2 linked regions of the Cricetulus griseus genome follow. The main gene of each other region encodes a partner of the protein of the gene in region 2 in a complex. Links are inferred from orthologs where the notes say so. Each region holds a gene or a part of one and is shown on either strand. Other genes may lie near its edges.

Region 1 (6,015 bases), on a different chromosome or scaffold from region 2:
GTTTGTGGGGCACTGTCTTATTGGTGGTTGATATAGAAGCCCACCGTGGGCAGTACCATCCCTAGGCAGGTGGGCCTGTGCTGAAGAGAAAGACTAGCTGAGTGTGAACCCAAGAATGAGCAAGAGATCAAGGTGGCAAGCAGTGCTCCTCCTAGGTTTCTGCTTTAAGCTTCCTGCCTCAGTTTCCCTTGATGAAAGCCAAATAAACCCTTTCTTCCTCTAAGTTGCTTTTGGTCATGGTGCTCTTTACAGAAACCGAACTAGAACAAGCAGGGTCAGTGGGGAGGGAGGAGTTTCTGTTACAAGTGTGCCTGTGTGCTTCGAACAGAAGAACTCAGCCTTAGATTCAAGGTAGACCTGGATTCAAGTCCTAACTGGTTTTTACTAGTTGTGCAACTTCAGATGAGATAAGTAACTTTTTTGAATTCCAACTTCCATATTTATAAAATGAACCGTGTCCAAGAGTGTTTGGAATGAGACAACAGCAAGATGAAGCCCTCAGCAAAGGTTGGAAAGCGGGTGGTGGGGGCATTTTCAGAGAAGGGGTATTTCAGCTGCTTTTGAAGGAATGAGGAGCTGTGGGGGAGGAGAAGGCAGCAAAGAAACACCCAGGATGCATTTACAGCATCTCTGCTGGATGGACAGCAAGGGCTGATGGCAAATGCGGCAGCCAGAGGCCCTCTTTCTGCAAACAGAGGAGCACCGCCAATGGTCAGCTCTGTCACCCACAGTTGTATACTAGTACTCAAACCCAGGAGGTGGACCTTCCCAGGACTCTAAGGCAAGTGCATAGATCAGGATGTATGCAGTACCACTCCCAGGTGTTGCTAGCCACCCTAGAGAGGAAACAATGCAGTCAAATGAGAGGGAGGCTGAGCACATAAGGTGAGCCCCTCCTCTCCTCCCCTGCTCTACACACTACAGCCACTTTCAGGCCCTCAGAGTCAGGGGCTCCTTTCCCTGCAGACTTCCTATGAGCTCAGACACAAGGTTTTGGAGGGTACAGAAATCCATTTGCAGAGCCTCTAAGTTGGAAGCCAACAGCCAGACGCTTGGGCTCTGAGAAGATAAATGCCACTGGCTGGCTGGGCGCAGAACCCCAGAGGTTTGGGCATCTCCCCCAGGACCACCTGCCTGGGTACATTCAGATGCTGTTTGCTTCCTAAGCACAGCACTCCCTGGAGGCCCTTCTCATAAGCCAAAGCAGTTCCTGGCTGCCTAGCTGGTGCTGGGCCCCTGAGAACAGCAGTGCTGTGAAGGAGCTGACTAAAGGGAACCCGGGAAAAGCAAGGACTGGCACCCACTTTCCCCAGCCCTCTGCTAAGAGACCCCAGCTAAAGCTCTTCAATCTCAACCCTCCTTGTCTTGTCTAATACCTTCCCTCCAGCCTGCGGCTCTCTTTCCCCTTCTCTTTCATCCTCTTATTTGCCATAGCTACCATCACATTTCACACCAATATTCTCCTGTACTGTTACAAGTCTCTCACAGAGTGCTGTCCATTAAGTTCAGATGCTATGCCTAGCATTAAGCTGCAGCTTCACATTTAGTCCTTACTAATCAGCCTGTGAGGCACTGTCCCTATTTCACAGAGCTGGACACTGAGGCTTACAGAGGCAGTTTGGGCAGGCCAGGGTCTGATTGGAGAAGCTTTCACTGGTGACATATTTTCTTTCCACAGATGTGGCCAGTCACCCTCCTACAGGAACGGAGTTTCTTCTCCCATGGACTACATTGCTGTCTCCAATTATCTTCGGATCCCCCTTCCTGATCCAAGCATTGTACACCCTCTCCCACCGCCTGGTAGCTCAAAGATACCCTATGAGAGGAGCACCATCTCCAGCCGGGGTTCAGCTTGACAACGGGATGTGCTTCGGCCAAAAGAACATGAGTAGATGAGACATCAGTCCTTCTGAGTGGACCCTGCAGAGCTACCGCCCAGCCCGGCTAGCTTCTTACTCTTTCCCTCTACCCTAAGGACAACATGCCCCAAAGGGGATGCTCCTTCAGCACTAGTCCCAGAATGAAAGATACATGGAGCAGAAACTCAGCTGGCAACCCACAGTTGCTGACACATGAGCGAGAGTAAGCAAACAGTAGAAATAAATGCTTGTTGTAAGCCAAGAGGACTTTGGGAATGTTGGCCCAGTAAAGCTAACTGATGGACTTCTCATTCGGCCAGTATAGGCAAAGCAGGAAGCGAAGGGCTATGGTGCCAGAGACTGGGGCACACGCACATCTTCAGGAAGGACAAGGAGGGGACATGGATAGCTTAGACCAGGTCAGAGGTTCTACACTGGGTCCCAGAGCTGAAGGTTCTACTTACCCTGTCCATAAGGTCCAGGCTGTTGGGCACCATAGGAACTTGGAGGTGGCTGACCGTAGGGGCCTCCTGGAGGTACACCACCATATGGTCCGCTGGGAGTTCCAGAGGGGAGTCCCCCAGCACTGGGGTATCCATAGGGCCCTCCGGGGGCAGGACCTCCGTAACCACCGCCAGGGGGAAGTCCACTGCCATACTGGCCCCCACCATGGGGAGGTCCAGGGTAGTAGCCACCTGGGGGTGCTCCAGGTGCCTGTCCTGCAGCTCCCGGGAAAGTCTGCAGGAAAAACAGGCATGAGCAGGGTGAGGAAAGAAGCCACAGCATAGCACTTTACAGCTACAAAGCACCTGCACTGCCCACAGGTGAGGTTGGACTTACATTTCTGCTCAGGTGGCCTTGAGGCTTCTAGGGAAGCTACTTGTTACCCAAGGTCATACAGAGTCCAGACTGGCATCTTATCCTCCTGACTTCTCTTTCCTGTACATCAAGGGCCCTACAAGGCCTGGGATCATGTTTGACTTGTGGCTTTATCCCTAGCTCCAGGGGACAATGGATGCTCAGTAAATATATGAACAAAGTGGAATGCTCACCCTTTGGGATCTTGACCTCCACCTGCAGAATTCACAGCACAAGTACAGTCTTTGATACAAAGCTCCGCCCCTCATCAGCCGCCAGTGATGTAGTCACAGCATGGACCCTCCACAGCAGCTCAAGATGCACGAATAGTCCCTAACTTCATGACTCTAAGGTAGACAGGGAGCCTATCCCCAGGGCAGTAGGGACAAAACCCAAATACCACCGTTCAGGTTTGTCAGCCTCTAACTCATGCCAATAATGTACTAGGGAAGGAAGACGAAGCAACTTCCTCCTGGAGTAGTCTGACCAAGAGCCAGCCCACATATGAATCCTCCACTCCTTGCCCTCTGCCTTTTGCCTAACCCTGGAAATAGGTTGTGTATTTGTTGGAGAAAAGCCCTGCATGGAAGTAACAGAATCCTATAGAGTCTTTATAGGAGGGAATGAAAAGAGTTTTGTTCTCAAAAACAAAAAGCTAATTGCCACTCTTCTGAGGTTTGCAAAGGGAAGTTGAAATTATTCTGAGATCTAGAAGGATGAAAACAAACAAACAAACAAACAAACGAGTTTAATCCCAGCACTTGAGAGGCAGAGGCAGGTGAATCTCTGTGAGTTCAAGGCCAGCCTGGTCTACAGATCGAGTTCCAGGACAGCCAGGGCTATACAGAGAAACCCTGTCTTGAAAAACAACAACAAATCAGGGTCTTGTCTAGTAAGTCTATCCAGTAAGTTGGACAACTCTGGTTCTGTCCTGGTAAATAAGAGTCACTGTTGGTTTGGGATTAAAACAAAAGTTTTAGGTATATTGGGAAGAAACAACCATTGTAAAATAGCTGAAAAGGGAGTGAATCCTGCTGCAAGGGAAAGAGGAGTGTTCAAGATAAACAGAGAGCATAAATCTAAGCTGTCCTCCTTCCAGGCTCAAGCCACTCATTGGAACTGTAAAGCAAAAGGAATTAAGGAGATGAGTCCAAGATCTGTAAGGGAGGCAAAAAGATGGGAAAGCCACTTTGAGAATTCTCAAGGGAGGCCAAAGCAAACTGATATTGCCCAAGAGCTAATGAAAAGAATTTAATATTATCTTTTTGGGAACAGACCATTGTAATCAACAAGGGAAGGATGATGGACAATATACCAGACATGTATACCAGACATGGAACACCTAGCTGAACTCTGCTGGGACAAGCTGCAAATGAAGAGAGACTTGTATTGAAGTGTGTAAATCCTTTAAAACAGACATATACTTTAGTATAAGAGGCTAATTGGATATCATCCATATACTGAAATATGTAATAAGTATCTGAAGACTTTTATCTAATAGAGTGTATTGCCTTTTTAGCGGTAGTACTATACTATATACCCACCACTGGCAGCTGGAGAAGTACTTGCCATTGGAAGGGAGATATAGGTGTTTGCTTATTGACAGGAGGCACTGAGAAAGCAATTCTTGATGACCAGGGCATAATGGAATAGAAAAAAAAAAAAAAAAAGCAATTATTTTAAATCAGTAACTATAAACATAGGAGAGGTGGAACTCCAGGCTGGATGGCTCCAAGAGATGAAAAGGAGCATTAATAACATGGAGATCACATAAAAGCCTCCATTTAACAGATTTTGGGGAAGATAGAAGATAGATAACAGCACTGAACAATGGGTTCTATATGGTCTGGCTGAAGTTGTTCTTGGATTAGCTGACATAATTGCTTACGTTTGTCCCCAGTTAGGGGGACCTTTGATCCAAGAAAGCTTAGGTAGGTGTTTCTCATGGCCCTGAGGGAAAGGGATATTCAGGGGCTGTCACAACCCCACTGCCACAAGGGAGAAAGATAAGGGTAAAACAAAGAAGTGGAAAACAGCAGTTTGATTTTGGAAAACTGCACGTAAGGTTTCTGTACTTACAAAAGTGGGGGATTACTTTTGTCACCAATTCCTTGAATGTCTAAAACCGGGGATTCAATGTGCCAACTAGGCCAGAGTTATTACACTATAATGGAGACACCAGCTGCTATGTCTCTAATGCCCTTCATGGGAATCTGGCTGTTAGAAATACCAACTGAGTCCAGTGTGCCCTGTGGAATCAAGTTCTTCCTTAGCCTGTTATCAGTGTCTATAGGGTGGGATAAGGATTAATAATCAATTTTATCAACTGAGTTAGAGCTGGAATTTCTTGGAGCAGCTGGCAATAACCTATAATGTGAATCTGACTAATGTAGTCAGAATCAATGACATCTGGAGGAAAAAAAATCTGGGCAAACAAAACTTTTAGAGTCCAGTTACCTAAAATCAAGTCAAAACATTTGTTGGAAGGGGTTCCTCTTTACCTCTTCTATTACATTTAATTTTATATCCTAATTACAGATAGATCTAATATAGAAATACCTTTAATAATCCAACCTCTTGATGTCTCAGGCTTGGGATGGAGCTGGGTGGCGTGAGGCAGAAGTACAAAGCACAGCACCCGTAGTTCTGGGCCCCTGCAGAGGCAGCGCAGGGCCAGGGCACTGGGACCACAGGCAGGGAACCAAAGGGGTTTGCTGCATCACCAAGCTGCCCTCAGCACTCATCCTTGTGCGTCCCTCAATTGGACTGCCTTCACTAGCAACTCTAGATGGGCACTGACTGGCCCAGAGAAGCCATCTTTACATTCACAGTGCATTTTAGAAAGGGGTTTAACCATATTGAAGTCCATCAGTAAGTTTTGTTTTTAGAAATGGTCTCTTTCACCACATTTGAAACACAGAGGGAGGGCCACAAGGCTGCTGCCGGAATGTGAACCTTCCACTCTTACTTACGTGCCAATGCTTTGGTGGGCTTTTTTTATTATTATTTAAAGATTTTATTTATTTATTATGTATACAACAGTCTGCTTCCATGTATATCTGCACACCAGAAGAGGGCACCAGATCTCATAACAGATGGTTGTGAGCCACCATGTGGTTGCTGGGAATTGAACTCAGGACCTCTGGAAGAGCAGTTGGCGCTTTTAAGCTCTGAGCCATCTTTCCAGCCCCTTTGGTGGGCTTTTATTGATCAGTATAGTATGAAAAGGATGAACAACTACAGATAAAGAGTTTTTTGCAATCAGAATTTGCATTTTGTGAGCTAATGAAAGGATAGC
Region 2 (5,900 bases):
TCAAGCACTATGGAGAAAGAACAAAGTAATCCTTGGATGATGCAGCTACAAGAGAAAAGAGACCATATTTGAAGAAGTGGGAAGCTGAATACACAATTAGCTTTACAAATTAAGGAACTAAAAAGGGGCTTCCTTAAACACAAACTTCCACAAGTCCAGAGCATGCCCGACCCTGGCACCACTACCATAATCTAGCTAACACCAACTTAAGTTATCTCTTCTGCCTCCAAATTCTACTAGTTCTACATCTTTGTATTCAACCAAGTAAGGATCAAAATATTCAAAAGGTAAAGTATTGACTTTGAACATGTACAGACTTTTATTATTTTCCCTAAATAACACTATCTTAGTCAGGGTTACTAATGTTGTGATAAAACACCACGATCAAAAAGCAACTTGGGAGTCAGGTGTAATGGCTCACACCTTTAAATCCCTGCACTTGGGAGGCAGAGGCAGGCAGATGTCTTGAGATTGAGGCCAACCTGGTTTAAAGAGTGAGTTACAGGACAGCCAAGGTTACACAGAGAAACACTGTCTCCAAAAACAAGCAAAATCAACAAAAAAGCAACTTGGGGAGGAAAGGGTTTATTTGGCTTACAGATCCCAAGTCACAGTCCACTGTAGGAACTCAAACCAAGTGGAACTGATACTCCAGGAAATGATGCAGAAGCCATGGAGGGGAGGCTCATTGACTTGTTCCTTATGACTTGCTCAATTTACTTACTTTTCTTTCTTTTTTCTTTTCTTTTCTTTCTCTTGTTTTTTGAGACAGGGTTTCTCTGTTGTAGTCCTGGCTGTCCTGGCACTTGATCGGTAGACCAGGCTGGCCTCAGCTCACAGACATTTGCTCGCCTCTCCCTCCCAAGTGCCAGGATTAAAGGAGTGCAGTACTACCACCTGTGTTCTTAAAGAACACAGGACCAAGAGACCAGGGGCAGCACAGTGAGCTAAGCATTCCACCATCAATCACTAGTTAAGAAAATGCCCTACCAAATTCACTGCACCCTGATCTTCTATAGGCCTTTTCTTAAATAAGGTTCCCTCCTCTCAGATGACCATAGCTTGTGTCATACTGACATAAAATCAGCCAGTACAAAAACAACAATTTTATTGTTTTAGGTATGAGTAATCCAGAGTGTGTGCATGGAGTATATGCAAATACTATGCATATCATTCTATATGACTTCAGAGCCAGGTGTAGTGGAGTATCCCCCATAATTCAAGCACTTGGGATACAGAGGTAGATTGCTTCAAGCTGAAGGTCACCGTAGTCTACATAATGAGTTCCAGGACAGCCTGGGCTCCATCTCAAAAAACCAAACCAAAGACTAGCACACTCAGATTTTGCTATCTGTGGATTCCTGTAACTAATTCCCTATGAGTATCAGAGAATGACCAGAACCCCGAAGTTCACGTATATGCATCAGTTGAATAATTATGTATTTGAAAAGCAATGTGAGGAATACTTTCCTGAGTGGGAAGATTTTAGTAGTGCTATTTTCCTCCTCAGAACCCTTATTGGGGAATGCGATGGAGGTGGTTATGAGAACAATCTTTTACTTTCTGAAATGAACCAAGAAAAGAAACTCAAGACCTGGCCATGATGGTGCACACCTTAATCCCAGCACTCGGGAGGCAGAGGCAGGCAGGAGCTCTGTGAGTTCGAGACTAGGTTGGTCTACAACAGCTAGTTCCAGGACAGCATCCAAAGTCACAGAGAAACCCTGTCTCAAAAAACCAAAAAACAAAACAAAAACAAAGCTAGTAGTAGTCAGGGAACTTCACCCCCTCTGGAGGCTGCTGCATCAGCTTGCTAGACAGGGTCTCTCCCTCAGTAGGGTAAACAATTTAATAAACCTTGTGCATTTGCATTGGTGGTCTGTCTCCCTGGTATCTTTGGGGATCCTTGTTACTCAGGAACAACATTTATAAGCCGGGCATTGGTGGCGCACGCCTTTAATCCCAGCACTTAGGAGGCAGAGGCAGGCGGATCTCTGTGAGTTGGCCAGCCTGGTCTCCAGAGCGAGTGCCAGGATAGGCTCCAAAGCTACACAGAGAAACCCTGTCTCGAAAAACAAACAAACAAACAAACAAACAAAGAAACTCTTCTTCCAAAGTTCACAATCATAATTTCTGAAAAGTTGAGGTTCTAAGTTCTCATCTCTTGTTTAGTTACATTAAAAGCACCTCCAACAACTCCACAACCTCTATTTTACAAAAAAGGGGATGATTCTCTAAAGCAAATTGTTTTCGTTTTTAAAAGCTTTCCTAAAGTTAACATAGTTTCAATTGTGAGCCACAAGAAACTCTAGGGATTTGTTGAATTCTCAGTAAGGGTCTGAAGATTATGAAATTTTCCTGGTGTCTTACTACAGGCAGGGCTCAGCCTGTGATTGGAACTTTTAAGGTTGGTGTCAAAACTGACAGTAACCCCAGTCTAGCAACCCTCCTCCCAGCACAAAGCTCCTGAGCACATCCTTTACCTTTTAGAAACGCCATATTCTAGAACTTGTGCTAATATCTGAATAGAGGGGTTCCATTTTGAATGGGGGGGAGGGGCATCAAATTCTAGAAGACTAAAATGAAAAGGAAAAAAATAACGTCGTTCTCCCCTGCCAACGCCAAGCTTACCATCATCAAGTATTAGAAAGACCTGGATAGGTAGGGCAAGGAGTTAGATATGCGGTAGTCATGGAAAACTGCATCTGTATCTTGGTAGCTGTGTCTCCTGGTTAGGTGGGGACTTAACGCACGCCAGAACGCAGGAAACCAACCAAATTGCACTAAGCCTTCCCATGGTCAGCATGCACCTCTCTGGCGAAGCATCCGTGAAGCTAAATTTGGGATATTCCCACTGTATCAGAAACCAAGGCATCAGAGTGCTTAACGAATTGCCAACATGCACGTTATTCAAGAAGGGATTGCAAAAAGACTCTGGCTTCATTACAATGTGTTGCGGTTTCGACACCAGCACCTTGATTTTTTTTTTTTCAAGATCACATTGTGGGGGGGTGCCCTACAACGGAACATGAGGTTCACTATAATTTGCGAGGGCAAGGGTGTTGCATGAATATACCATGCACCTCATCAGTTCTCTTTAAAAACTCCTTTAAAATGCCCAACGCAGACCCCAATGCGCTGCTCCCACCTACCTTCCGAGAAAGCCCACTCCAATCTTTGGAGTATGTAGCTTTGCTTTGTTAAATAAACTTCGCCTTAACTGTTTCTCGGCCGAATTCTTTCCTTTCAGGTGAAACCTTCTCCCGGGGCAGGCAGGCAGGCAGGCAGGCAGGCGGGCAGGCAGGCGGGCGGCAGGCAGGCAGGCAGGCAGGCAGGCGCTGCTCCGGGGAAGCAGAGAAGCCACCGCTAACCCCGGGGCGCCCCACCGAGTCTCCGCCCGATCCGGGGGTCACCAGGGCTGGGGGAAGGCCGCACCCCAGAATGAGGGCAGAAGTGGAAGGCCGGGTGTCACCGCCGCATCCACTCACCTGGGCTCCGTGGACGCCCAAGCGGAGGGGCTGGGCGCGGGGCTCTCAGGCGGCTGAGCAGCCGGAGCGCCGCCGCCGCCGCCGCCCGGACCAGCCGCTGCGGAGCAGTCTCTGTGGTACTCCAGTCTCTAGGCTCGTCAGCCGCGCGGCGTGATGACGTCGCGCAACGGGAGGGGCGACCCTCTCCTAGGTCACGTCACGTTAGGGAGGCCAAGCGGAGGGGCCCTGCGTACCTGGGGGTTCAGAAAACGGGAAAGAGAAAGTGGAAGGGTGGACGGAGTGGGACGTGCGGCGCGGGAGCGTGGGCCGGAGGCGAAGGGTTCGAGGCTGCCGGTCCCCACACACGGTACGGCAGGCGGCTGCGTCCCCCTCACACTCAGCAGTCCCCCGCAACTTCAAAATTGCCCAGGTCAGTTGTGAACAATCAGGCTGCCTGTCGCCGTGGGACCTTCTTAGGCCCTGTGACCGCAGGCCTCTGGGCCCTGAATGGGCCTGTCAACCATGAGGCGATGACTTCCTTCACTCCCAGCCAAGGGGAAGGAACTTGTGGATTGACTAAACTGTCAGAAATTGGACACAGTGAGGGAAACTGCAAAGGACCTTCTCAAAGAGGACACTAGTCATCTCTATTGCATTGACCCATCACCATGTCATTCATTAGTGCTGAAGTTGTTAGGAATTTTGCTTCTCGTTGATTTCAAGTTTACCTTGTGGCTGAGAAGGGAAAGGTATTTCTTGGTTTAGCGTATATGAATGAATAAATTGGATTATCCTGCTTTTCTCTGTACAACATTTGGTTCTGTTTGTTTTGTTTTTCGAGATAGGGTTTCTATGTGTAGCCCCGGACTGTCTTGGAACTCGCTCTGTACATCAGGTTGGCCTCGAACTCACAGAGATCCTCCTACCTATGCCTCCCGAGTGCTGGGATTAAAACCTTGTGCCACCACGCTTGGCAAACATTTGGTTTTTTAAAGATCATAAAGTGTAGTCAAGTGGGCAGCTTTAGTGTTTCCTTCGTGTCATATCTTCCTGATCCCAAAATGTTCCTGAATTTTAAATATGGTGGATGGAGTACAATGCAGAACTGATAGAAATTCTATTGAGGGCTCTTTGGATTTATTTGTTGAAATGATTAATATAGATATATTTTGATTGTTTTTTGTATCCTAGACATTGGACTGTTTGTCGTGTCCCCAGGCAGGAGTGCCTCCCCAAAACTTCTAGAGTAGATAAATGTAAGGTAGCTAGAACAGGAACCAATGCCCTCTTCTGACCTCCTTGGTCACCAGGCACATACATGGTGCACATACATACATACAGGCAAAACATTTATACACATAAAACATTATTTACTAGCTTTCTTGGCCTTCTCTGACTGTTTCTGCTTTTACATGTAAACATTTTCTTAATAGACTTTTTGCCCTTTTTCTTTCATCTAGGCAAATGCTTTCCTGACAAACAGAAAACACAAGTTATTCAAGAATTTTCTTGAGAGCTGGGCATTACACATGTAAACCCATACTTGGGAGATGACAGCAGGAGAGAGGGAATTCAAGAGTAGCTCAGCCTTCGTGGGAAATTCTATCCTAAAAACAGTAGCAACAAAAGCTGGAAGTGTAGCTAGCATATGAGAAGCCCAAAATGGATGGAGGTAGCAGGATAGAGAGTTTCTTTGGGATTTTTTTTAATTTTTGGTTTTTCGAGACAGGGTTCCTCTGGCTGTTCTGGAACTCACTCTGTAGACAGGCTGGCCTTGAACTCACAGAGATACACTTGCTTCTGCCTCCCAAGTGCTGGGACTAAAGTTGTTCGACAACCTATTCTTTGGGTCTTTACCATTTATAATAATTGAGTTGCTAAGGCTCCAATGTAATGCAGGACCTCGTTCTCTATAGGTAGTAAGGGAAAAGGGCCCGTGGTGAAAACTGCAAATCACTCATATTGCAATGAAAACCGAGTCCGGGGTTTAAAGTACTAAGAGTTAAGATGGCAGAGTCTAGAGCACTCAGGGAAATGAGTAAGAGGGCTTGTAGCTGGGATGACACAGCCAAGCTAAACATATAACAGGAAGGACAAAGCTCTGGGCCGGTGAAGAGAAGTCATCCAGTCCTCCTGAAGCCCTTGAGGCATGGTTGTGAGACATGATTGTCCTTTCATATACTCTTGCTGCTAATGTTGCTAATTTTAATAGATTAAGATGTAAGTAAAGATGGCTGCTAACAATAGTTTCTACCTAGGAGACTTCTCAGATCACCCCACAGATAAGGAATTCAATATGAGCTAAACAAGAAAGAGTGCAGCTACTTCTTTGGAGCTGTGATAGAACTAACTTTCTGCCATGGAAAAGCTACCAATTGGTTGTGTAAATGTGGGATCAAGGAGAATATAGTCTAATGAGCAGCCACCAAGACA

The links. Proteins that work in one complex are often made in the same cells at the same time.
Region 1: the proteins of Klhl12 (region 2) and Pef1 are in contact, whole or in part, in a crystal structure (PDB 8RBH), measured with the Homo sapiens proteins. The link is inferred for Cricetulus griseus from reciprocal best matches to the Homo sapiens genes KLHL12 and PEF1. Residues at the interface, in NP_067646.1 of Homo sapiens: Phe289, Gln293, Arg320, Tyr321, Leu371, Glu417, Tyr434, Ile439, Phe481, His486, Cys511, Tyr512, Tyr528, Leu533, Cys558; in NP_036524.1 of Homo sapiens: Gly15, Gln16, Ala17, Pro18, Gly19, Ala20, Pro21, Pro22.

The regions. Positions count from the first base shown.
Region 1 is NC_048595.1:22,915,851-22,921,865, forward strand, and holds the start of Pef1 (peflin), read right to left. Parts: upstream 3,400-6,015; 5' UTR 2,987-3,399; coding exon 2,912-2,986; intron 2,598-2,911; coding exon 2,324-2,597; intron 1-2,323. UniProt on the Homo sapiens protein: Calcium-binding protein that acts as an adapter that bridges unrelated proteins or stabilizes weak protein-protein complexes in response to calcium.
Region 2 is NC_048598.1:54,784,128-54,790,027, forward strand, and holds the start of Klhl12 (kelch-like protein 12), read right to left. Parts: upstream 3,626-5,900; 5' UTR 3,489-3,625; intron 3,474-3,488; exon of another isoform or gene 3,153-3,473; intron 46-3,152; exon of another isoform or gene 8-45; 5' UTR 2-7; coding exon 1-1. UniProt on the Homo sapiens protein: Substrate-specific adapter of a BCR (BTB-CUL3-RBX1) E3 ubiquitin ligase complex that acts as a negative regulator of Wnt signaling pathway and ER-Golgi transport.